Linked DNA regions of Callithrix jacchus. Each later gene encodes a partner of the first gene's protein in a complex. Links are inferred from orthologs where the notes say so. Each region holds a gene or a part of one and is shown in the gene's direction. Other genes may lie near its edges.

Region 1 (5,932 bases):
GCTAGAATGTAAATTGCAAACTTTTGGAGATTAATTTAGTAATATTTATCAAAAATTTAGCCACGTGCGGTGGCTCACGCCTGTAATCCCAACACTTTGGGAGGCTGAAGCAGGTGGATCACCTGAGGTTGAGAGTTCGAGAACAGCCTGGCCAACATGTTGAAACCCCGTCTCTGCTAAAAAAGTACAAAAATTAGCCGCGCCTGGTGGCAGGTGCCTGTAATCCCAGCTATTTGGGAAGCTAAGGCAGGAGAATCACTGGAACCCGGGAGGCAGAGTTTACAGTTTGCTGAGATGGCACCACTGTACTCCAGCCTGAGTGACAGAGCAGGACTCCATCTCAAAAAAAAAAAAAAAAAAAAACAAAACAAAATTAAATGTATACGCTCTTTGACTCAGCCGTATTACTTCAAGGAGTTGATGACATCAAAATTACCTAAGTACTCAAAGGTGTTTGTAATTAACAACAGGCGCTTCATAAATTAGGTCACACATGTGATGCTATCTTTTAAAGAGGTACTGATATAGAAAAAATGTGGCATAAAATTAAATGTACTTTATTATTCTTTCAAAGTGCTTACGGAATGAACGCATTTTCAAAAAGATGTGTATTCATACTTTTAAAAAAGCTTTAAAAACTTTATACAGTGAACGATTGACTCTAAGAGCCGATGGAGGAATGTTAAGAGGGTGATAGAGAGCTAAGTTTAACGTAACAGCCCACCTGTCTATCAGGGGACACTTAGGAGCGCATCAATTCTGTAATTGAAAAATAAAGAGCATATTTGCAGCAGCTGAACTCTTCAGGCTGCAAGGAGGTTTTTCCTCCCGGTATGCTTGACTTGCATTTCGCTTTCACTTTCGTGGCTGGAAACTTTCTGCCCACGAAGTGGGAGGCTGAGGAGGCACCACAAAGCTGGAGCTTGACGAACCGGGGCCTGGGCCTGATCCCCACAAACGCCCGGACTAGTCCAGCGGCCAGGTTCAGAAATCAGGCAAAGAGGCGGGGAGACCTGCGGAACGCTGCCTCGCCCTGCGCCCGCATCCTCCAATGCATGTTCTAGGAGGGCGGGCCTCGCGGGGAGCAGGGACACGATTGGCCCTAAAGTGTCCCCGCGCAGCCCGTGGGCGTGGAGACGTAGTGACGTCACAACGCGGCGCAGGGTGAGAGCGCGCGCTTGCGGACCCTGCGCTATTAAACGGTTGCAGGCGTAGGGGAGCGGTCGTTTTTCTAGGGTTCAGCCTCTCGTCACGTTCGCCCGCTCTCTCTGCGGCTCCTGAAGCCGAAACCGGCTAGAGTTTGCTTCTTCCCGCCTGCCTGTAGCCGCGTTGGTGCCACTCCGCCACCATGTTCGAGGCGCGCCTGGTCCAGGGCTCCATCCTAAAGAAGGTGTTGGAGGCACTCAAGGACCTCATCAACGAGGCCTGCTGGGACATCAGCTCGAGCGGCGTAAACCTGCAGAGCATGGACTCGTCCCACGTCTCCTTGGTGCAGCTCACGCTGCGGTCTGAGGGCTTCGACACGTACCGCTGCGACCGCAACCTGGCCATGGGCGTGAATCTCACCAGGTGAGCCCGGCAGCGCCTAGAGCCGACTCCGGCCCACCCCTATCTCCGGCGCTTGGCGGGAGCGCTTCCGAGCCGAGCCCTCATTGGCTGGCGTGGGCCATCCGCGCCTTCTCACTGGTTTGCCACGCGGGGTGGGGTGGGGCCCAGCCGAGCGCGCGGTTCCGAAAAGCCCGCGCTGGCTGTTGTAGCGCGAACCTGCTTTTTCGCGCCAAAGTCACAAAGCAAGTGGTGGCGGGAAAATGACTGGTTTTTCTGCAGTGCCAGGAACACTGCTCCGGGGCTCTGGCTCCTTATATCCCGATGGCCTTGAATGGACGCTTTAGTTGTGGCTGACTTTTTTGTTTGAGACGGGGTCGCGGTGTGTTGCCCAGGCTGATCTCCGACTTCTGGGCTCAGGCGATCCACCCGGCTCAGTCGCCGTTGACTTTAAATGGTTTATAATGTGCCCTTGCGAGAATGTGTCAGCCTGTCATCCTACTTGGTGGCAGGAGATTGTTTCTATCCAGAAGGGAAACTGCCGGTGGCGTTTTAGTATAAATACTGCCAGATGCATCCCAAAATGTCTGCATTAATATTCACATCCTCTAGCAGTACGTTTACTCTCCACCAGTTCTGAGATGGCCCGATGGGTGAGAGTGGTAACCCCTTCTAACTGCATTAGAAATACAGACCTTTAGCAGGTGGTGTTGATTTTAAACCATGTGTCTCCTGTCTTCTAGTATGTCCAAAATACTAAAATGCGCTGGCAATGAAGATATCATTACCCTAAGGGCTGAAGATAATGCGGATACCTTGGCGCTAGTATTCGAAGCACCAAGTAAGTCATCTTTTTACTGAGTTGTGAAGCTACAGAAACTCAGAACTCTGTATCAGTATTTCACAGCAGCATTTGCTTTCTTTTGGTAGACCAGGAGAAGGTTTCAGACTATGAAATGAAGTTGATGGATTTGGATGTTGAACAACTTGGAATTCCAGTGAGTATCAATTTCTGATTGTAGAGAGTACTGTACACAGGCATGATAGTTGTGTAATAGAATGTGGGGTTGTCAGTCCGTCCGCCCCCCTCCCCTCACACAGGGTCTTGCTCTGCTGCTCAGACTGGAGTTTAGTGGAGCCTTATAGCTCACTGTAACCTGGGACTCTTGGGCTCTAGCCACGCTCCTGCCTTGGTCCCTAAGTGACCAGGAAGGACTACAGGCTTGTCCCATCGCACCTGGCTAATTTTTTTATTTTTGTGTGTGGGTGGGGACAGTCTTGCCCAGGCTGGTCTGGAACTCCTAGCCTCAAGCAATCCTCCCCACTCAAAATATGTTAATATAATTTAAGCCTACTTCACATAACTTTTCTAGAAATGTATCTACTAGTGCATGTTTCAAAGACAGATTTTTAGTATTTGAATAGTTGTTGTTTACCACAAGCCTAAAACTGGTTGTATTTATTGTTTATTGCCAGTTGTCTATTTGCATTAACTTCCATGAACCTCTTTTAAAAATTTTTTCCTTCTAGAATGCTTGGTTTTTATTAAGTGTATTTTAAAGATATCTTCGAAGAAATTTATCCAAGTTAGGTTTATAAACAGCAAAGGAGAAAAGAAATGTCAGAATGTTGAAAATGCCTAATGTCATATTCTTAGGTTTTTTTAGAAAGTAGTTAGGCTTGCTTGCACCGTCATCATTTCTTTGGTTGGTTAAGAAATTATCTGAGAATCTTGATTCTGCATTGTTTAGATGTTGCCTCTTAAGAAAGAGTGCCTAATCATTAAGTTTCTAACAATTAACTTTTGGAAAAAATTTGTTCTTAATAGGAACAAGAGTACAGCTGTGTAGTAAAGATGCCTTCTGGTGAATTTGCACGTATATGCCGAGATCTCAGCCATATTGGAGATGCTGTTGTAATTTCTTGTGCAAAAGACGGAGTGAAATTTTCTGCAAGTGGAGAACTTGGAAATGGAAACATTAAATTGTCACAGACAAGTAATGTCGATAAAGAGGAGGAAGCTGTAAGTAGTTTTTAAGTAAAAAGAAAATAGTTTGAAGAGAATTGTTTTCTTCTTTTTTTCACATTGCTACAAAGACATACCCAAGTTTGAAGAGAATTTTAATACCACTTAACATTGGGTTAATTGCTAAAATTAAAAGTGGATAGAATTGTACCTTAAGTAATTTGTGAAAATTGGGATACTTTTGAAATCTGCAATTGATTTATAAGTGGCCGTCCAAATTCAGCACATGTACATACCATGGAACAGTGGTTTATGAATCAAGCCCACACAGGCTCTTAAGGATAGGATTGGGAAGCTAGGTGTCTAACCTTTAGGTTTCTGGAGATACTTACTCTGTTATTAAATAATTGAGCATAGGTCAGCAACTCAATAGAAGGATATGGTTAGGAGTAAAAGTCTACCTGTTGTGAGCTCTTATGTAATCCTTATATTAGCTTACATGTTGTGGGTCCAATTGGTAGCCCATTCTAAAGGTAGAGAAGCAGGCTGAGCCAACCTTAAGTGGCAATTTAGCTAAAGTCACAGGCTGTAGGAATCAAAGGTTAAACAGAAGGGAGACTTCTCACTAAAGCTAGAATGCAGACTCCATGCAACTTTGAGAGTGCCTAGAGAACCCTTGGCACAAAATAGAATACATGGTAAAACCCTGTTTCTACTAAATACACAAAAATTAGCTGGGCATGGTGGCACACACCTGTAATCCCAGCTACTCGGGAGGCTGAGACAGGAGGATGACTTGAACCCAGGAGGCAGAGGTTGCAGTGAGCTGAGATTGTGCCACTCCCCTGCATCCTGAGCGACGAAGCAAAACTGTCTCAACTTAATAGCCTGAGCATAAATCAAAACTTTGTAAATCAAGGACAAAGGTCCTAACCTCATAGGATTGTTTGGATTAAATAGCATATGCTGTGTCTGACACATTATAAGCTTATAATAAATACTAGATGTTGCTTTCTTATTCCTTGAATGAATAGTCTACCTTTAGTTTAAATAAAAGAAATTCAGTTGAAAATGTTTTTTTTAAATTAATGAAGTCTAGGAGCTGATTCTTTTGTTTCCTGAATCACATTTCCACTCCTATGCCAATCTCATGGGGTTTTGTTTTGTTTTTTGTTTTTTTTTTCTGTTTTTCTTTGTTTTTGGGACAGGGTCTTGTGCTGTCCACCCAGGCTGGAGTGCAGTGGTGCAGTCTCCAGGGCTTAAGTGATCCTCCTGCCTCAGTTTCCCAGGCAGCTGGGACTACAGATGTGTGCCACCACACCTAGCTTGGTTCCCTCTAATTTCATTTTCTCTCTTCGATTACAATCTATTTTTTAACGAAATTAGATCATTCGTTAGGTTTTCCAGAGTTTGGATTTTGCTGATTGCATCCCTGTATATACATAAATTCCTCTATCCTGTATGTCCTACAAACTGGTTGCTACAGCCCTGGAGCCTTGATGATATTCAGGATGTTTTGTTTTGGGGTTGGAGAGCAAGAATACTTTATAGTTGGTAGTGTGTGATTCTAGTAGGAGGCACAGGGTACCTGGGTGTCTTTGCAATGTTTGTTAGCAGCTATAATAAATTAATGTTTCATTTTTTTCTTTTAATATATAATGAGCTGGGCCAGGTGTGGTGGCTTACGCCTGTAATCCAAGCACTTTGGAGGCCAAGGCGGGCAGATCATCTGAGGTCGGGAGTTCAAGACCAGCCTGACCAACATGGTGAAACCCTGTCTTTAAAAAATATATATATATATATGTATATATATATAGTGAGCTAATAGATTGCAACTTTCTTGCTGTTTTTAATGATGAATCTGTTTTCTCTTGTAGGTTACCATAGAGATGAATGAACCAGTTCAATTAACTTTTGCACTGAGATACCTGAACTTCTTTACAAAAGCCACTCCACTCTCTTCAACAGTGACACTCAGTATGTCTGCAGATGTACCGCTTGGTAAGATAATAAATTGGAACCTTATTTTGTAGGTAATATATGTGATACTCATCAGTAATTAACTATCTTCCTGTCATTCAGTTGTAGAGTATAAAATTGCTGATATGGGACACTTAAAGTACTACTTGGCTCCCAAGATCGAAGATGAAGAAGGATCTTAGGCATTCTTAAAATTCAAGAAAATAAAACTAAGCTCTTTGAGAACTGCTTCTGAGATGCCAGCATATACTGAAGTCTTTTCTGTCACCAGATTTGTACCTCTAAGTACATATGTAGATATTGTTATCTGTAAATAACCTATTTTTTTCTCTGTTCTCTGCAGTTTGTTTAAAGATCTCTGCAAAGTCAGATCCAGTCTAATTAACCTAGAAGTATTTTTGTCTCTTAAAAATACTTGTGATTTTTATAATACAAAAGGGT
Region 2 (5,932 bases), on another chromosome or scaffold:
TCAGTTTACTGTCCTGTTCCGAGCAGCAGGATTAGCTGGAAATGACTTAATCACAGCTCTTGTATCTCCTACAACTCGAGGTTTAAGAGAAGCTATGAGAAATGAAGGTAAAGTCTAGGTTTAAAATAAGGATACTGTAGTATATAGTAAACCTATTTTAGCCTAAAAGCTGTTTAAATTTAAAATGCCTTTTACCAGTTGGTTAGCAACACTAAGAAACATGTGATTTATTTCTGGTTCCCCCCACTCAATTATTTAATCCAGCAGTCACCAAACTTTTTGGCACTAGGGACCAGTTTCATGGGTGAGAGGAGGATGGTGTCGGGATGAAACTGTTCCACATCAGACCATTCTCCTAATGAATGCACAACCTAGATGTCTCACATGCGCAGAATAGGGTTCGCACCCCGGTGAGAATCTAATGCAACCACTGATGTGATAGGAGGTGGAACTCAGGCAGTAATGATCCATCACCAGTCGCTCACCTGCTGTGCAAACCGGTTTCCAACAGGCCACAGGCCAGTACCAATCCACAGTCCTGGGATTGGGGACCCCTGATTTAAACTGTTCCTTATACATAGTTTTCCCTTCTCTGACCTCTAAAATAAAACACATATTGGGCCAGATAGTCACTATATACACTCTTCTAGAAATTATTCTGTAGTACCAGCTACTCCTTTAATAACATAATTTTCAAACTGAGTCAACCCATTAGTGGATCATGAAATCTATTTAGTGGACCCAATCAGTACGTTTTCAAAAAGTGAACTAGAATACAATATAATTTATGAAAGAGTGTCACATGTATGTGTTGTTTGCTGAACCTCTTTCAAGGAGATATGTTTTTATGTGTATATGTACTGTGTCAAGAAAGCTTGAAAATACTGCCTTAATAGATCATTTGTAAAAACTCACATTTCGTATTTTGTACACCTGAAAAGTACAGCATGCCTGTTAAATACTTTTAATGAAAACTCAGTTACATTTTTCTTTCCTCATGTAGGTATTGAATTTTCTCTGCCTTTAATAAAAGAAAGTGGCCATAAAAAGGAGACAGCATCTGGAACAAGCCTGGGATATGGGGAGTATGTGATTAAAATAAATTTTTATGTCATCCAGTGACTTACAGACCCATGAAATAGATTTGTACAGGAGCAGCTTTGTGAAATAGAGACTCTAACTACAGCAATTTCCTAGGGAGCAAACCATCAGTGATGAGGACGAAGAGGAAAGTTTTTCCTGGCTGGAAGAGATGGGAGTGCAAGATGAAATTAAAAAGCCAGACATACTTTCTATCAAGCTGTATCCTTTCAGTTGCTGTTAACTAGAATTAATTTTCATTTAATGACGTTAGTGAGAAGTTTAACATTGGCAGTTTTATATAACTATAATCTTAAATTATCTTCAGATTATATTAAAACTAATTTTCATTGTAATATTTAATAACAAGCCCCTGAGTATCAATAAATGGTGAACTATGAAACATTTTTTAATCAAAACATTCAATTGTGATTGATTGTGGGAGAATAGGTGTGTTTTGACTAGAGAAGAAATTATGTTTAGGTGTCAGTTTGTAGCAAATTTAAATTAACATTTTGATGAAATATATGCCTTAATCATTGAGTAAAGAGAGGTAGCAAGAGCATTTCCATTTCATTATGGAGAAAAGGGGTCTCAGGTGATTCAGAATCGAGATAATTGCTTTCCACAGTACGTGGGATTTGCTTTTGCAATTTCCTTGACTGTTATCTTCAGTCGTAAAGAGAAACATGAAGTACAAATGGATCACAGACCTGAGTCTGTTGTGTTCATGAAAGGAATCAACACCTTTACATTGCTCAATTTTTTGATCAACTCTAAGAGTTTAGTTGCTACCTCAGGTCCACAGGCAGGCCTTCCTCCAACCCTCTTATCCCCTGTTGCTTTCCGAGGTGCCACAATGCAAATGCTTAAGGTAATAAAAATCTCCATAACCTAGCTTTTAAGAAGTACTTTACTTTGATAGGATAAATTCTTGATTAAAAAAAACTTCTAGCATTTTTACTTGGTACATATTTTGCTTTTGCTTTCCTCCCATTAAGAAAACAAAAAAACTGACATAAGACAGTTACATCAAAGAAATTATGTGAAAATATGTAAATTATATGAAATTTTCTTTTTTTAATGGAGTCTTGCTGTGCTATTCCAGCTAGATAGAATGCGGTGGGGTAATCTCAGCTCATTGCAACCTCTTCTTCCCCTGTTCAAATGATTCTTGTGCCATGCCTCAGCCTCCTGAGTAGCTGGGATTACAGGCACACACCACACCCAGCTTTTTGTTTTGTTTTTTCTTGTTTTTGGAGAGGGAATCTCGCTCTGTCAGCAGGCTGGAGTGCAGTGGTGCAATACTCACTGCAACCTCTGACTCCCACATTCAAGGGATTTCCTGCCTCAACCTCCCGAATAACTGGGATTACAGGCAAGTGCCACCACACCCAACTAATTTTTGTATTTTTAGTAGAAATGGGGTTTCACCAGAAGTACTGGGATTACAGCTGTGAGCCACTGCACCTGGACTCTTTTTAAATTATATGAATTTTTTTTTTTGGTTGGGGAGACAAGGTCTTGCTGAAGTGCAGTGGCACAACTCACTGCAACCTCAACCATCTGGGTTCAAGAGACATTCCTACCTCAGCCTCTCAAGTAGCTGGGACCACAGGTGCTTACCACTATGCCCTGCTAATTTTTTTTTTTCACGCTGTCACCCAGACTGGTGTGCAGCGGCGTGATTTCAGCACACTGCAGCCTCCGCCTCCTGGGTTCAAGTGATTCTCCTGCCTCACCCTCCTGAGTAGCTGGGATTACAGGCACACGCCACCATGCCTGGTTAATTGTTTTTTTGTATTTTTAGTAGAGATGAGGTTTCACCACGTTGGCCAGGTTGGTATTGAACTTTTGACCTCAAGTGATCCACCCACCTTGGCCTCCCAAAGTACTGGGATTACAGGCTTGAGCCACCACGCCTGTCCTAACTTTGAAGTTTTTGTAGACTTGGGGTCTGTTACTCAGGCTGGTCTAGGACTCCTGGGCTCAAGCGATCCTCCTGCTTTGGCCTCCCAAAGTGCTGGGATTACAGGCATGAGCCACCATGCCTGGCCAAAAATTTTCTGACTGAATAAAGTAACAGTTGGCAAAAAAGTAATTGGGAACAAAAGCATTTTGGTGTTAATTTCCTTTTTTGCCACTTAAGAAATAGTTGCTTGATTCCATTTTCATTTCACTAGTGAAAGGACATGGCCAAGAATGTTATATTAAATAATAGCAGATGTCAAAAACTGGGGCATACATAAGTAAAAGTCAAATTATACATGTAAATACAAAGTATGTGCTAAATGTCAGCAATAGAATTGAATGAATTTTAAATTTTTGTTTTTCCAGTAGTCTGCATTGACAGCCTATTACTAAATCAGATAAAATACTATATGAAAAAATGGTATTCTCTGGAATATATTTCAACTGAAAAAATCTCATAATATGGAGAGGATGCTGAAAATTTGCCAAGTATTTTTACTCACGTAACATTGTTTTGATGTCTTGGAAAATACTTTTGTTCTATAACGGTTAAAGAGAGGAAACCCCAAATGGAAACATAGTAACCACAGTTTTAGCTAGAAAAAAGTTGAAAGATGATCATCATTTTCCTTTTCTTTAAATTTTCATGAAGGCACGAAGTGTAAATGTGAAGACACAAGCTCTTTCTGGATACAGAGACCAATTTAGTTTGGAGATTACAGGTCCTATCATGCCTCATTGCCTGCACTCACTGACCATGCTGCTCAAATCTTCACAGAGCGGGTCTTTCTCTGCACTACTATATCCACATGAACCAACTGCTGTATTTAACATCTGCCTGCCAGTGGACAAAGTACTTAATACGGTAAGTAGACATCTATGAGCAGACTTTTAGTTGTAGTTTCCTAAGACTAGCTGGAGGGAAGGAAGTCATTTATGCTGAGTCACTTTTGTGTTTCAAGTAATTAAACTTAATTAGATAAATTATGAATTACTAGAGGAAGGAATAATGTCCATAAGTTGTTGAATTAACTTTCATGAATTGAGTCCAAGTACAAATTTTTTCTTTTTTGAGACAGTCTTGCTCTGTTGCCCAGGCTGGAGTGCAGCAGCCTGATCTTGGCTCACTGCAACCTCATCCACCTGGGTTCGAGCAATTCTGCCTCAGCCTCCCATGTAGCTGGGATTACAGGCAGGTACCACCATATCCAGCTATATTTTGTATTTTTAGTAGAGACGGGTTGTGGGGGAGGTTTCACCATGTTGGCCAGGCTGGTCTTCTGACTTCCGGTGATCTGCCACCTTGGCCTCCCAAAGTGTTGGCATTATAGGTTTGAGCCAAGGCGCCTGGCATCAGTACAAGTACAATTTTAACAGTGACTAAGGAACTTCCCATTCCCAAAAGGGGAAATTTTATTTTCATTGTCCTCTTGGATCCAAAACTCAGTAGTACCCAATTCCTTGATAGTTTTAAGGAAACATGATTCACTATAGGTATTAAACCATATTTGCCTTTGATTTTGAATATAAGGATTTTTAGAGTTAAGACCTTTAAAATTGTCTCATGCATCTCAGTTGGCTAGACTTATAAAAATAACCATTAATATTTTGGGATTTTGTCACTACAAAAATTCTTAGGTCTTCTGTTGATAGGATGAATCACATTAATCAGTCTCCATAGTAATTAAAACTCGTGTGTTTCAAGACTAATATGCCTTTTACTGACTTTTACACAAATTTCCACAGGAGGTTGTTCATAAGGAGCTTACTAACTGTGGTTTGCACCCTAAGACTCTGGAGCAACTTAGTGAAATACCGTTACTTGGGAAATCGTCTTTACGGAATGTGGTGATGAGAGACTACATTTATAACTGGAGATCCTGAACACCAAAGTAAGCCTCAAAGGAATCTTTGAGGAAAAGCCTTCTAGCAAGGAAATTCAAGGTTCCTGAAGTTAAAGGAATATACTTTAAAATACTGAAACATTTATATTTTTATTACAGTAGCATTTTTTAAATCAGTGTTTTCTGCTTTTACTATTTTCAGGTTAGTTTTTAGATATAAAGATGAAAAGCTCAGATCACTCAAATGAGGTATCTATATCCCTACAACCTAATTGTATAGTGAGTAGAAAACTGAATTAATGTTTCCTTGCAAACAGGAAATTGAGACTAAACACAATTATCTCTTGGCCTTGTGACAAAGTCATCAGGGCAAAAATGTTACTTTACCATTTACCTAAGACTGTTAGTAGGTTCTTGTTTTATAAATCTCTACTAACCTAGCTGACTTGCTGATGCATCTACCTTAACATTTTTCCTACTGATCTATAATTTCTTTATTTTCACATATACTAAAATTTTTTTAATTCATGTTAATTCAGATAAAAAGGCATTTTGTATTCCACATAGAATAGTGTTAAGAATTGTGAAGTATGCTGAGCTGTCATGGCAAAGTAGTATTTAATGTGTGTGTGCGCGTGTGCATGTGCATGTGCGTGTGTAGGCGGGATTGTATAATTCACATTTTTTTAAATAAAAGTGCTTAGAAATCAAAAGCATTGGGTAAAGAAATAATAGTATCTAAGTATTTGTTCACTTTATAATCCAGAAAATAAAACACCACATTTATTCCAGAGAAGTTTGTATTTGGGCCTTAAGCTTTTGAAAATAAAGTTTAGAGACATAGCATATGAATACCACCGTAATACACATGAAATATTCTATCGGACCCTAAAAATTAACATAAACTTTAACTTTCTCAGAGTCAACAAAATAGTGGCTGGTTGCCAATTTTATTAGATAAGTTGGTTACAGCATTTTAATTATCATTTTACGTCTATCTAGGTGTAGCTGAAATTCAAAATGCACATCAAAGTAAA
Region 3 (5,932 bases), on another chromosome or scaffold:
AAGGCTAAGGCAGACAGACATATGTTCTAGTACATGAACGGGGGCAAGTGAAACAAAGTAATAGATATTTACAATCTTAAAAGTCAGATAAAAATAGCAGTTTTGCAATAGATATTAATCTCTACTATCTGACTCATCTAATTTAACTGATGCTTCTTTTGTCAACTTTCTCCCATCTGTCTTCTCTCTTCCAGGGATTTGTTGAAATTCCTTAATCATTAAGGGCTTTTGACTCCTCTACTGTTCTGTTCCCTGTTTGGGGGAGTTATAACATTTTACTCTTATTGTCACGGTGTTTCTCTCAGGGAGTGTGTGGAAGGAAGAGAGAGATACATGTTGTCTTCCTTGACCTGGACATTCTTCATCCCAAATTTAGTTCAGAAAGTGGTGGTTTTCCCTTATTTATATATATATATTTACTGTGTGTTCATGATGCCAGGGAAATTGTGGTGTCTCTGCCTTTTTGGAGCTTAGAGTCCTGAGTGGGGCTCTAGATAAGCATTTGCACACACAGTGCTGTGAGAGGGATCTTGGAGAGTGTCACTAGGATTGTTTTCTTTGGTTAAGCCAGCTGGTTTCAGAACTGGAAATAGAATAAGAAAGCCTCAGTTTATTACTGCGAATCTCAAAATTCCTTTGTCTTCCTCACTGTCTAAACTTTCCTCCTCCCCGTATAACACATTACCATTGTGGCCCGGCTTTCTTCATAGCTGTTCCTTCAGAACAATGGGGGCTTGCTTCTGGGGTTTGACTTTTCTCTTGCCTGAGCTCCCATCATGTTCTAGCCTCCCAGAGCTGGGCTAATAGCTGGACTGCTTTCCTTTTATGTTTCTCTCTCTTGTTTCTCAGAGCTTATAAAGTTTTGGGGGCCCATTTTATACTTAAAGTGTATAATTTATTGTTCTTTCTGACTTTTTGTTCTTCTTCACCTCTTTAGGTCATTTGGCCTTGAACTCTTCACTGTCATAATTTTTAACACTGACCTAATCAGTTGGGAGAATTTCAGATCCAAGACTTGTGTTAAGAATTTGAATACAGCCAGGAGATTTAGGGAGCAGGTGAGGCTAAGCTGCTGCCCAGTCCCCTGACCAGCACTTTCTTTGTGATGGTTGAGTAATAGGTCAGTTGAGGATTTTCACTTCCCCTCTCATGGGCCCTTTACTAAGATCACCAATTCTGTGATGGTTGAGAAATGATGGGATCCCTTTGGTGGTGCTCATTCCTTGGGTGATGCCACTTCCACAGCAGTATTTTTTTCCTAAAAGTGTGCTTTCCTATTAACCTCAGTGTAGCAGAACAAGCCTTATCAGTGGAACAGTCACTAGAAATAGTCTCCATGCAAAATATTAAGCAGGTCCTAGTTGTTAGAGCTTTAATTATGATAATCATTTAAAAGATGATTTCCCCCACCTAGAAGTTTATACTCTTAATATCAGCTGGAAATTTTTAGTCTAACAAGCATCTAGGTGTTTAAAAGTAATCCTTAGGTCACAGCGAAAGACTCTGCCATGGAAGATTTGTAATAACCTGAGAATTATCTACACTTAGATCTTGAGAGAAAATGTCTTGTTCTGAATGATAAGGTGGCATAGTATAGTTGGAATAGCAAGGCTGTAGAATTGGATTGACGTAGGCTTAAAAACTCCTGTGTCAGTTATAAGCTGTGTGACCTTGGCAAGTTTAGGTACCTCTCTGAACCTCTATTTACTCTAATGTGCAAGTAAGAAAATCTGTCTCTTAGAGTTATAAGAATAAAGTGAAATACATGGCATATGGAAGATGATGATTGGATATTCATAAACCAACTTCATAACCTGACTTAGCTATGAAAGAAAACATTTAGCTAAGATACTTCTGGCTGTAAAAATTCTTGATTCTCTGATTTTATTTGTATAAAATTATTAAAATATATATTTTAAAAATAACTATATAACTGCAAATTTATTTGTTATCAGGAATTACCGCTTGCGAAATGCCCTTTGCTGGACATGTAAATTTAGAGAACCAGTGGAGAAAGCATTATACTAGAGAGCACTTGTAGTTTTCTGATCTAAGTCTGTTTCATTATTTCAGTCTTCCCTGACTCTCCTGGGGTTTATGAAGCTGAGTCACCATCCCCACCTCCTCCTATGTCTCCACCTCTTGAACCAGTGTCAAAGACTGAGCCTGAACCTCCTTCTGTTAAGGTAAAATTGTACTGGGATGCTTGCATATCCATGTGTCCTTTATGTCTGAAGGACCTGCAACCACTGTGCTAAATCAGTTCCCTTGCTGTATACTTCACAAATGCCAGTAGATGGCTCTTGTCTCATTCTGCTCTCCTACAGGTTGTACATAATGACATTCCCTCCATTCTCACCTGAAGGGAGATTTCGCCATAGGGTATAGTCTCAGGAACGCTGCAGAAGTGGAACCTGGGAGCTGTTCTGTTTTCATGACCTTTAGCATCTCTGCTGTGCTGTACACCTCCTGTTAGAATGGTGCAAAAAGAGATCCCCTCTCCATCAGAGCAATACATAAAAGACAGAGGGGAACAAACAACTTACAAATGTTTGTTGCTTTTCAGAAGCAATTCTGGAAAAGGGCTCATGAGAAAACTGGCAATCAATGGGGAAATACAGCTTTGAACGCTCTTCAGCTGCATCTTATCTACATCCATTAGTGTAGATAATGAAGAGTTGAAAAAAATAAGTGCTGACATTTTTTTTTTCCTTTGTGGCTGTTAGTTTTTCTTAGTTCATTGTGTTAAGACTGTCATTTAAATCTTACACTGATTTACTCATTAGCTGAAGAGAAAATGGGATGAAAGAGACCAGTGGAGATAAAAGGAAGTTGGTATTAGTAATACCTTTTGAGACCAAATTAGATAGGTGTAATGTTGAAGCGTCAAGGCTGGCCAAGCGTGTTGGCTTACACCTATAATCCCAGCACTTTGGAAGGCTGAGGTAGGAGGAATGCTTGACTCCAGGAGTTTGAGACTGGCCTGGACAACACAGGGAGACCTTGTCTCTACTTTAAAAATATCTGGGTATGTGGTGGCTCACCCCTGTAATCCCAGCACTTTGGAATGTCGAGGCAGGTGGACCACTTGAGGTCAGGAGTTCAAGACCAGCCTGGCCAATATGGTGAAACCCCATCTCTATTAAAAATACAAAAATTAGCCAGGCATGGTAGCTGGCATCTATAATCCAAGCTACTGGGGAGGCTGAGTCAGGAAAATTACTTAAACCCAGGTGGCAGAAGTTGCAGTGAGCTGAGATCGTGCCATTACACTCTAGCCTGGGCGACAGAGCGAGACTCTCTCTCAAAAAAACAAAAAAATCTGGGCAGGGTGGGGCGCATGCCTTTAATTTCAGCTACTTGGGAGGCTGAGGCAGGATGATCATTTGAGCCCATGAGTTGGACTGCTGCAGTGAGTTATGATTGTACTTCTGCACTCCAGCCTGGGCAACAGAGCAAGATCCTGTCTCTAAAAAACGAAAAAGAAAAAAGAAATGTGAAGACTGATATAGCAGGTGTCTACAGCAAGGGCATATACCACAGAAACTCCTTGTCTGGTTTAGGGGCCATCCCTGTGTACTCCCATAATATCTGCCTCAGCCCTCCATTGAAGCCCTTACCACATCGTATTGCAATGTCTGCTTTCCTTCTCTCTCTCTTCCACTAAGGTCCTTATCCTATCCTACTGTTTAACCATTTTGCCTTCTCTACCCAACAAAAGTTTGTTGACTGAATGAACGGAACATAGTTCTTTCTTCAGCATGTTACTTTCCTTCTTATGATTAATGAAATATCAAGCCTATGTATACATAACTTGTCTGTGTAATGGGGTTGGTTCTCTAAAACTAATGTAGTGTTTCTTGTTCAACTTTTTATCATAATAGAATATTGGAGGGTGATTAGTATAGATTTAAAAGCTTTTGTTATTTTTCTGTATAACATAATTGGTCAGCTTAACATTGTATCCTCTGATCTTTTAGAGCTCAAGTGGAGAAAACAAAAGAAAACGAAAACGTGTACTAAAATCTAAAACTTACGTGGATGAGGAAGCCTGCATAGGTAAGACAAATATTTGGCTCCAAATCCAGAGATAGAATCTCTTATTACCATAGAGGCACCATAATCCCTTATAGAACAGGTACATCTCAAACTTTAGTGTACAAGAATCATCCCCAAGTGGTACTAATGTTATTTGTCTGGCACACACTTTGAGTAGCATAGTATAAGTCGGAACACCTTGGTTCTTGTTTAGGTCATACACTATGAAAATAAGCGGTGAGATCTTGGCTAAAAGTTATGTTGTCTCTGCTGAGGAGTTTCTTATCTGTGGAATATCTATTTTGCCTATATGTGGGGTTGTTATGAAGAGTCAGGTGGCATAAATATATCTAAAAACACTTTCAAAATGGAAACCACAGTACAGACTCAAGATGTCATAGAGGTTGAGAAGCTTTTTAAATTTTTTTTAAGAATGTTTTTATAAATTTGAACAGTGGAAAAGAAGCTACAGATGATTAGAGTGTATCAAGAATCATCTTTGGTATTTGGTTCCATTTTTTCTTCAGAAGGGTATGACTCATCCAGACTGCTTCCTTTATGTTTCCTATTTGTAAGCCATGTTAGGTAAAAGCATGTGCTTGTTATGAAGGCTTAGGGAGGAATTAGAGTTCAGACTTTGAGTCATTGGCTGATTCTTCAGCCATGTTTTAGCTTCTTCTACCCTTTCCATAATCAAACCAGACTTCTGTGGAGCTTTTAAGATTTAGCACTTGAGGTTCCATGGGATGCTCAGATCCTGGTATTGTGCTTTTGTATTTGAAAAGAGTTGTGGGTTTAGGCTCTTACCTTTGTTATTGGATAGTCCATGGTTGTCATTTTGCCTTTTGTGGCACTTGCCACAGGTTGGATCTTCAGAGAAGGTTATTTTCCCCCTTCTCAATTTTTTTTCCTAGTTCAGATTTCTGTTTTTAAAAGATTGGCTCTGAAGAATCAACTTTTCCTGGTTCTTAAAACTAGTGCAGACGTTCTGTCGGCTGTTTTCCCTGTCCCACTATTCCCCACGTCTCTGTCCTCTGAAAAGGCCTCTGCCATTTTAATTGTAGCATGTGATTAGGGAGTAGAATTCTTTACATGTGGGAATTCTGTCTTTTCAATGCCAGATTTCTTGTGAACCTGTGAATTCTGGACTTTGAATGGGTTTTTTTTTTCTTTTCCTTTCTTTTTTCTTTTTTCTTTTTTTTTTTTTTGGCTTTCAGTCTTTTAATAGTTGCCATTTTTCAAAAATGGCAAGCCTCTTGGTTTGGCCATGGGTGGTAATATATGTATTTACTGTTGAATTTCTTAATTCAACAGTACATTTTTTTAATTTAAGAGGACAAAAGCATTGGTGCCAGTTTTTTTTCACTTCTTTCTGCCCTAAAAGAAAAAAAGTCAGATGTCTTTGTGAGAGTTCATTGGGAATTTGTGGGTAATTGTTTACTGCTTTGTTTAGAACATAGTACTCGAGTTTTGGCCAGGTGTGGGATGTGGACTTTTTTGCACTCCTGTCTCCAGACAGGGCTGTTAAGAGCCTTGGATGCAGCAGTGAAAACTGTGCTCACATTGCACTTTTTTTTTTTTTAAGGTTTTTAGTCCAAGCTCAACCTAATGAGTCTTGGCTTTGGTTACCAACAAAGGAGTTCTGCTTTCCTCTCTACTCACACTGTTCTAAATGTACCAGCATAGGAGGCTCGCCCTGTCCTGTGCTGGATCAGATTTGTTCTGTGGGTTTAGAAAGCTCATCTTTCCCTCTGTGAGTTTGCAGCAGAGAGTGGGGAGTTGAGGCCCTGAGATAAGTTTGGAGTAGACTCCTGGACAAAACGGTGGGTTTCTAAGAGCAAAGCAGTTGAATAGAAAAGATATCTGATGTTACCCGTGAAAACCAGGTGTTTGG
Region 4 (5,932 bases), on another chromosome or scaffold:
GCCTTAGGATTTCAAGCTGCCCCTTCCCCTGACCCAAGCAGATTTCTCTGTCACCATAGGTTTTGCTTAGGTTGTTATTAACATGTTGACCAAGTGTAGATCAGCAGATGATAGGGACCCAGACTCATGCTCAGTGGGAAGAGCTTGTCCACTGAGAGGGAGAAGCTTGTATTATATATTTCTCAAGTGGCTAAGAGAGAACAGTGTTACGAGTCTGACTTTGTAGGTCAATTTTGGGTGCTATAATATTAGAGAAGACAATTTGCCTCATTTTAGATTTGCCTGTGTTGTTTCCTTATATTCCAACCATTCATCCAGGGCGAAACATAATCTGCATTCCTAGGACCAGAAACTTTCTTTTGTCCATTGTAAAACGGCTGATTTGATGGAGTGTGCCTGTCCTGCAGGAAAAGGCGACTCTGAGGTCCAGTGTGTCCTGACGTAGCTTCGTGGAAGTGTTTTTGTCCTTTTCTTTTTGCAGCCTGGGGTGGAGACCTCAAAAGTTTCTCACTTTTCCTCTTGGTTACAGCTATCATGAACATAGTTCTGTCTCAGCCATGTGGGAAAATCTTTGTAGGGGACCCGCACCAGCAGATCTATACCTTCCGGGGTGCGGTCAACGCCCTGTTCACAGTGCCCCACACCCACGTCTTCTATCTCACGCAGGTAAGCGCGCTCTCTGCCTCGGAGGCCCTGGCCCCAAGTGGGCAGGCATTGCATCTCCCTCCCAGTGTCTTATGTGCTAGGCCCTGTGCAAGGTGGTATGCCAGGCTCACCAGATCTAGCAACTCCTTGCTTCTAAGCCGTGGTTCTCAAAGTGTGGTTCTCAGGGGTCCGCCAAGTCAGACTGTTTGCATAAGAGGTGTTTGCATAGCTATCGTCTGAGGAAGAGCTGTTGGGCTGAACTGTGAACCAATGTCTCCTGCCGCCTTGTATGTTGTACTGAGAACAGTTGTTAGACCAGTGCTGGTTGTTCAGACTTGCGTATTTGGCAGTTTTTCAAAGACAAGTGAAATAGGCTGCGACTTCAGGGAAAATAACTGACAGTGTTGTCAAAGATGACATCTTTGTTTTCAAGTGAAATTAAAATTTTGGCAAACTCCCATAATGAACGCAATAACTCACAGTGTCCTTGATTATGCATTCCTTCCTTTCCAATCACATGTCTGTGTGAGGCTGAATTTTCTTCCTGGGTGTCAGCCAGGATACTGTATCACAGCAGACCACGCAGATGTGAACACAGGAAGCCGACTGTCTTCTGTGATGCCAGGCATTGAAGAGATTTGCAAAAATGTAACATGGTGCCATTCTTCCTGCTGAATTTTTGTTCTGGGAAATATAGTTACATTTCAAAAAATGTGTTCCATATGTTGTCATATAAGAGGTTTTTAGTTGGGCATGGTGGCTCCTGCCTGTAATCCAAGCACTTTGGGAGACTGAGGTGAGCAGATCACTTGAAGTCAGGAGTTCAAGACCAGCCTGGCCAACATGGCAGAACCCTGTCTTTACTAAAAATACAAAAATTAGCCAGGTGTGGTGGCTCACACCTGTAGTCTCAGCTACTCAGCAGGCTGAGGCAGGAAAATCACTTAAACCTGGGAGGTGGAGATTGTGGTGAGCCTAGATCACGCCACTGTACTCCAGCCTGGGCAACAGAGTGAGACTCTGTCTTAAAAAAAAAAACACAAAACATTTTTAATAGTTTTTAAAAAAAATGAAGTAAAGTTTCTAAAATGGTAAAGAGATAGATGGATAAAGCTCATGTAAATAAAAGCTCTTTGGAGGTTTTTTAAGTGTGATTTTTAAGCGTGACGCATCCTGAGACCAGAAGTTTGAGAACCACTGCTTTTAAGAAACTCATTTCTAATTAGAAGAGAGGTGTGACTTGGATGAAAGTATAAACTGCCATGTTTTGCGATGTTACTGAAAGTCATGTAGTTGCCTCTGATTCTTCCGTTGAGCTCCTGCCTGCTGTGGTGATTAGGGTGGCATCAGTGCAGAGCTGTTTTCTTCTTGTAACAGACAATATTTTTTTTTTTTTGATACGGAGTTTCGCTCTTGTTACCCAGGCTGGAGTGTAATGGCGTGATCTTGGCTCACCGCAACCTCCGCCCCCTGGGTTCAGGCAATTCTCCTGCCTCAGCCTCCTGAGTAGCTGGGATTACAGGCACGCGCCACCATGCCTAGCTAATTTTTGTATTTTTAGTAGAGATGGGGTTTCACCATGTTGACCAGGATGGTCTGGATCTCTTGACCTCTTGATCCACCCGCCTCGGCCTCCCAAAGTGCTGGGATTACAGGCGTGAGCCACCGCGCCCGGCCACAACAGATAATATTTTTTAGAACAGTTTCAGATTTACAGAAGAGAGTTCCCGTACATCCTATACTCAGTTTCCTGTTACTAACATCTTATCATCTTATATTAATGTGGAACACTTGTCACAATAATGAACCAACATTGATACACTATTATAGACTGAAGTCCATGGTTCATTTGCATTTCCTTAGTTCTGAAATAATGTCTTTTGCTACTTTTGGCTCTCTTGGCTGTGACAGTTTCTCAGGCTTTCCCTATTTCTGATGACCTTGACAGTTTTAAGAAGTGCCAGTCAGACATTGGTAAAATCCCCCGTGCTGGAATTTGTCTAAAGTTTTTTCTCATGGTTAGGCTAGAGTTCTGGGTTCTGGGAGGAAGACCACAGAGGTAAAGAGCCATTTTCATCCATGCTGTCACCATGGCTCATGACTTGATGTTGACCTTGATCAGCTTGTTGGCTGATGTAGTGTTTGTCAGGTTTCTCCACTGAAAGTTCCTCTTTTTTTCCATCCTTTCCATACTGGATGCTTTGGAAGGAAGTCCCTATGTGCCTTCCATACTCAAGGAGTAAATGTTGCAGAATCTTCATAAATTATTTGGAATTCTTCTGCAAAGGAGATTTGTTTCTTCTCTCCCATCTCTTTAAATATTCCATCGTTTATCTATCTTAACATGAACTCATGGGTATTTATTTTATAGTTTCACTGATGGTTCACTCACAGTAGTTTTATAGCAACAAAGTAGTGTTTGTTGAAGGTCTAGTTTTCATTTGACTGTTACTGGTATTCACCAAAGCACCTGAACTTGTGTGTGCATGGAACCAGGCCATATGCACTCCGAGTGTGGGGAAGAATGATATCTTACCAGCCTGAGGGGTGAAGAAAGTAAGGTCTTGGGCTGAGTTTTGAAGGTTAAGAAGTGATTTTGATGGATGAAAAAGACTTACAGGCAGACAGAAAAAGCATGAACCGAGGCAGGACAGCACAGGGAATGCATAGGTGGTTGTGCTACTGCCATGGCTGGTTGGTACAGGGCAGTGGTTTTTTTTTTTTATTTTTATTTTTTGAGACAGAGTCTCACTCTGTCACCCAGGCTGGAGTGCAGTGGCACGATCTTGGCTCACTGCAACCTCCAACACCCGGGTTCAAGCAATTCTCCTGCCTCAGCCTCCCAAGTAGCTGGAATTACAGGCACGTGCCACTGTGCCCAGCTAATTTTTTTGTAATTTTTAGTAGAGATGGGGTTTCAGCGTCTTGGCCAGGCTGGTCTTGAAATCTTGACCTCGTGATCCACCTGCATCAGCCTCCCAAAGTGCTGGGATTACAGGCCTGAGCCACCATGCCCAACCAGGGCAGTGGTTTCAAAGTTAGTGTTGAGTGGGATCTCAAAGGCAGGGGGAGAAGCCCTCCTTACCCTGTCTTAATCTTTTGTATGATTTAGACTTCACTAGATTTGATTTGGAGAAAAGGGTAGATTCACTTAAAAGAAAAGTTTACTATTGGTATTGGGAATAATGGAATTGTCAGGTTGTGAAGGACTTTGAAAGTGAGCCTGTGAAGTTCTGTTTCTGGGCCGGGGTGTTGGGAATAACTCATTGGTCTGGCCAGGCTAGGCTGTGGTGGCAGCAGTGGAAATGCACAGACACACTGCAGGACAGACTACTGACTCCCTTTGTCTTGTTGTTTTCCAGAGTTTTCGGTTTGGTGTGGAAATAGCTTATGTGGGAGCTACTATCTTGGATGTTTGCAAGAGAGTCAGGAAAAAGACCTTGGTTGGAGGAAACCATCAGAGTAAGGCCTTTAGTTACTCTTCTCTTTGTGTTACAAAAGTTTCCCTCTTTATTTCCATTTTCCATTGAGTTTGTGCTCTCTCCCTAAAGGTGGCATTAGAGGTGATGTAAAGGGGCAAGTGGCCTTGTTGTCCCGGACCAATGCCAACGTGTTTGATGAGGCCGTACGGGTGACGGAAGGGGAAGTCCCTTCGAGGATACATTTGATTGGGGTAAGAGTACATTTCTGTTGACCACTTCATGCACGGAAAGGCTTAGACGAACATACCCAATGAAAACGTTCACCTTCTTTGGGATTATCATGCAAGAGAGCATTTGGGGTTTTGACTCTTTTCACTGGGCTACACTGTGACTGGTCTCTAACCCTGGCCATTCTGATTATGCCAGTGAAACATTCCTGGAAAGGCAGACCCTAGAAGGGCTGGGGACCTTGCTTTCCACTCTTCAAACAATGAATGCCCTTCTCCCCTTGACAATGCCAGTGAGACCCTGGGCTACTGGAAGCTTTTCTGGTTGTGTGTTGTCATTAGTGTGAGAGCAGCTGAGCTGACAACATGCGGAGTACACACCTCGGCTCTAGTTCTGACTGGTCACTAACCGTGTGTGGCTTGGGGCAAGTCACAACTTCTGTGTGCCTCATTCTCTCCATCTCTGAGATAAAATAATGCCTTGCCTTACCTGTTTCACAGGGAGTCAGGAGGATTTAGTGGCATGTTTGCAGCATTTTCAACCCTGAAGCAAAGTTATATGACCAAAAAATACTCACTCATTCATTTATGGGAAAAGATTTTCAAGAGCCTACTATGCATTAGGCACTCAATAAATACAGCAGTGAATCATAATCAAAAGGTGTTTTAAGTTTGTTATTTATAAAGACTATATGACGATGGTATAGGAATTTTGGAACCTAAAAGAGAGCACATGATCACAGTATTTTGTATAATAATTCTCATTTTTGCCGTTTTTGTCTTTGTCCTTATAGATGTGTATTTGTGTAATTGCATTATAGGGTCTGTAAAAATGGATGCTGGTTTTTACTCAACACATAGGCATACTTTCTTTCATTGCTACTGTAATGACCTTATAATATTTGGTCGAGTAGATATAACATAATTTAGCCATAGTCACTGTTATAAGAGAGTAGTATTTTTGGAATATCATCCACAGTGGCATGATATAAAGTAAGTGGTTCTCTTCACTTCTCTTAAATCCACTTGTTACCTGTACCATGTATCATTACATGTGATCACACATCTCGTTGTGGGTTATAATGTCAACTGTGTTATTTTGCCCGCTGTTTTATGTAAGTGTTTTACGTGTCCCTCCCTAAAAGATGACAAGCCCTTGGAGTGTGGGTCCTGGTTGTGTCTGTCTTCTGTGCAGGCCTGGTGCTGTATGAGTGCTGGAGCCCAGCCAGTGCTCAGCAGATGCTCTTGGTAGATCTGGGCTAAACAGGGCACAGTCAGGCTGTCTCCTCCAGGAGCTGACCAGTTAAAATGTAGAATAATCTGGACCTAGAGACATTCTGTAGTTTTTTTTTTTTTTTTTTTTTTGAGACAGAGTCTCACTCTGTCACCCAGGCTGGAGTGCAATGGCGCAGTCTTGGCTCACTGCAACCTCCGCCTCCCAGTTCAAGAGATTCTCATGCCTCAGCCTTCCAACTAGCTGGGACTATAGGCATTTGCCACCACACCTGGCTAATTTTTGTATTTTTGGTTGAGACAAGGTTTCACCATGTTGGCTAGGCTGGTCTCAAACTCCTGTCCTCAAGTGATCCACCTGCCTCAGCCTTCCAAAGTGCTGGGATTACAGGTGTGAGCCACTGC

What was found. The genes of interacting proteins can lie anywhere in the genome.
Region 2: PCNA (region 1) and DONSON share a complex: the UniProt entries of both Homo sapiens proteins name them as parts of the replisome complex. The link is inferred for Callithrix jacchus from reciprocal best matches to the Homo sapiens genes PCNA and DONSON.
Region 3: the proteins of PCNA (region 1) and POLD3 are in contact, whole or in part, in a crystal structure (PDB 1U76), measured with the Homo sapiens proteins. The link is inferred for Callithrix jacchus from reciprocal best matches to the Homo sapiens genes PCNA and POLD3. Residues at the interface, in NP_002583.1 of Homo sapiens: Met40, His44, Val45, Ser46, Leu47, Glu124, Gln125, Leu126, Gly127, Ile128, Pro129, Thr206, Ala208, Asp232, Val233, Pro234, Tyr250, Ala252, Pro253, Lys254, Ile255, Glu256, Asp257; in NP_006582.1 of Homo sapiens: Ala453, Asn454, Arg455, Gln456, Val457, Ser458, Ile459, Thr460, Phe462, Phe463, Gln464, Arg465.
Region 4: the proteins of PCNA (region 1) and FBH1 are in contact, whole or in part, in a crystal structure (PDB 8F5Q), measured with the Homo sapiens proteins. The link is inferred for Callithrix jacchus from reciprocal best matches to the Homo sapiens genes PCNA and FBH1. Residues at the interface, in NP_002583.1 of Homo sapiens: Met40, Ser43, His44, Val45, Ser46, Leu47, Leu126, Gly127, Ile128, Pro129, Ala208, Asp232, Val233, Pro234, Tyr250, Leu251, Ala252, Pro253, Lys254, Ile255; in NP_835363.1 of Homo sapiens: Ser56, Gln57, Arg58, Cys59, Ile60, Pro61, Phe63, Phe64.

Annotation. Positions count from the first base shown.
Region 1 is NC_133506.1:12,549,783-12,555,714, reverse strand, and holds part of PCNA (proliferating cell nuclear antigen), read left to right. Parts: intron 1-1,235; exon of another isoform or gene 1,236-1,324; 5' UTR 1,325-1,348; coding exon 1,349-1,569; intron 1,570-2,288; coding exon 2,289-2,386; intron 2,387-2,475; coding exon 2,476-2,543; intron 2,544-3,373; coding exon 3,374-3,568; intron 3,569-5,388; coding exon 5,389-5,512; intron 5,513-5,593; coding exon 5,594-5,673; 3' UTR 5,674-5,932. UniProt on the Homo sapiens protein: Auxiliary protein of DNA polymerase delta and epsilon, is involved in the control of eukaryotic DNA replication by increasing the polymerase's processibility during elongation of the leading strand.
Region 2 is NC_133522.1:39,667,057-39,672,988, reverse strand, and holds part of DONSON (protein downstream neighbor of Son), read left to right. Parts: coding exon 1-107; intron 108-1,003; coding exon 1,004-1,085; intron 1,086-1,197; coding exon 1,198-1,302; intron 1,303-1,755; coding exon 1,756-1,954; intron 1,955-3,703; coding exon 3,704-3,916; intron 3,917-4,797; coding exon 4,798-4,935; 3' UTR 4,936-4,943; exon of another isoform or gene 4,944-5,608; intron 5,609-5,677; exon of another isoform or gene 5,678-5,932. UniProt on the Homo sapiens protein: Replisome component that maintains genome stability by protecting stalled or damaged replication forks.
Region 3 is NC_133511.1:66,324,567-66,330,498, reverse strand, and holds part of POLD3 (DNA polymerase delta subunit 3), read left to right. Parts: intron 1-2,073; coding exon 2,074-2,186; intron 2,187-3,980; coding exon 3,981-4,059; intron 4,060-5,932. UniProt on the Homo sapiens protein: Accessory component of both the DNA polymerase delta complex and the DNA polymerase zeta complex.
Region 4 is NC_133508.1:7,877,174-7,883,105, reverse strand, and holds part of FBH1 (F-box DNA helicase 1), read left to right. Parts: intron 1-529; coding exon 530-666; intron 667-4,007; coding exon 4,008-4,107; intron 4,108-4,196; coding exon 4,197-4,318; intron 4,319-5,932. UniProt on the Homo sapiens protein: 3'-5' DNA helicase and substrate-recognition component of the SCF(FBH1) E3 ubiquitin ligase complex that plays a key role in response to stalled/damaged replication forks.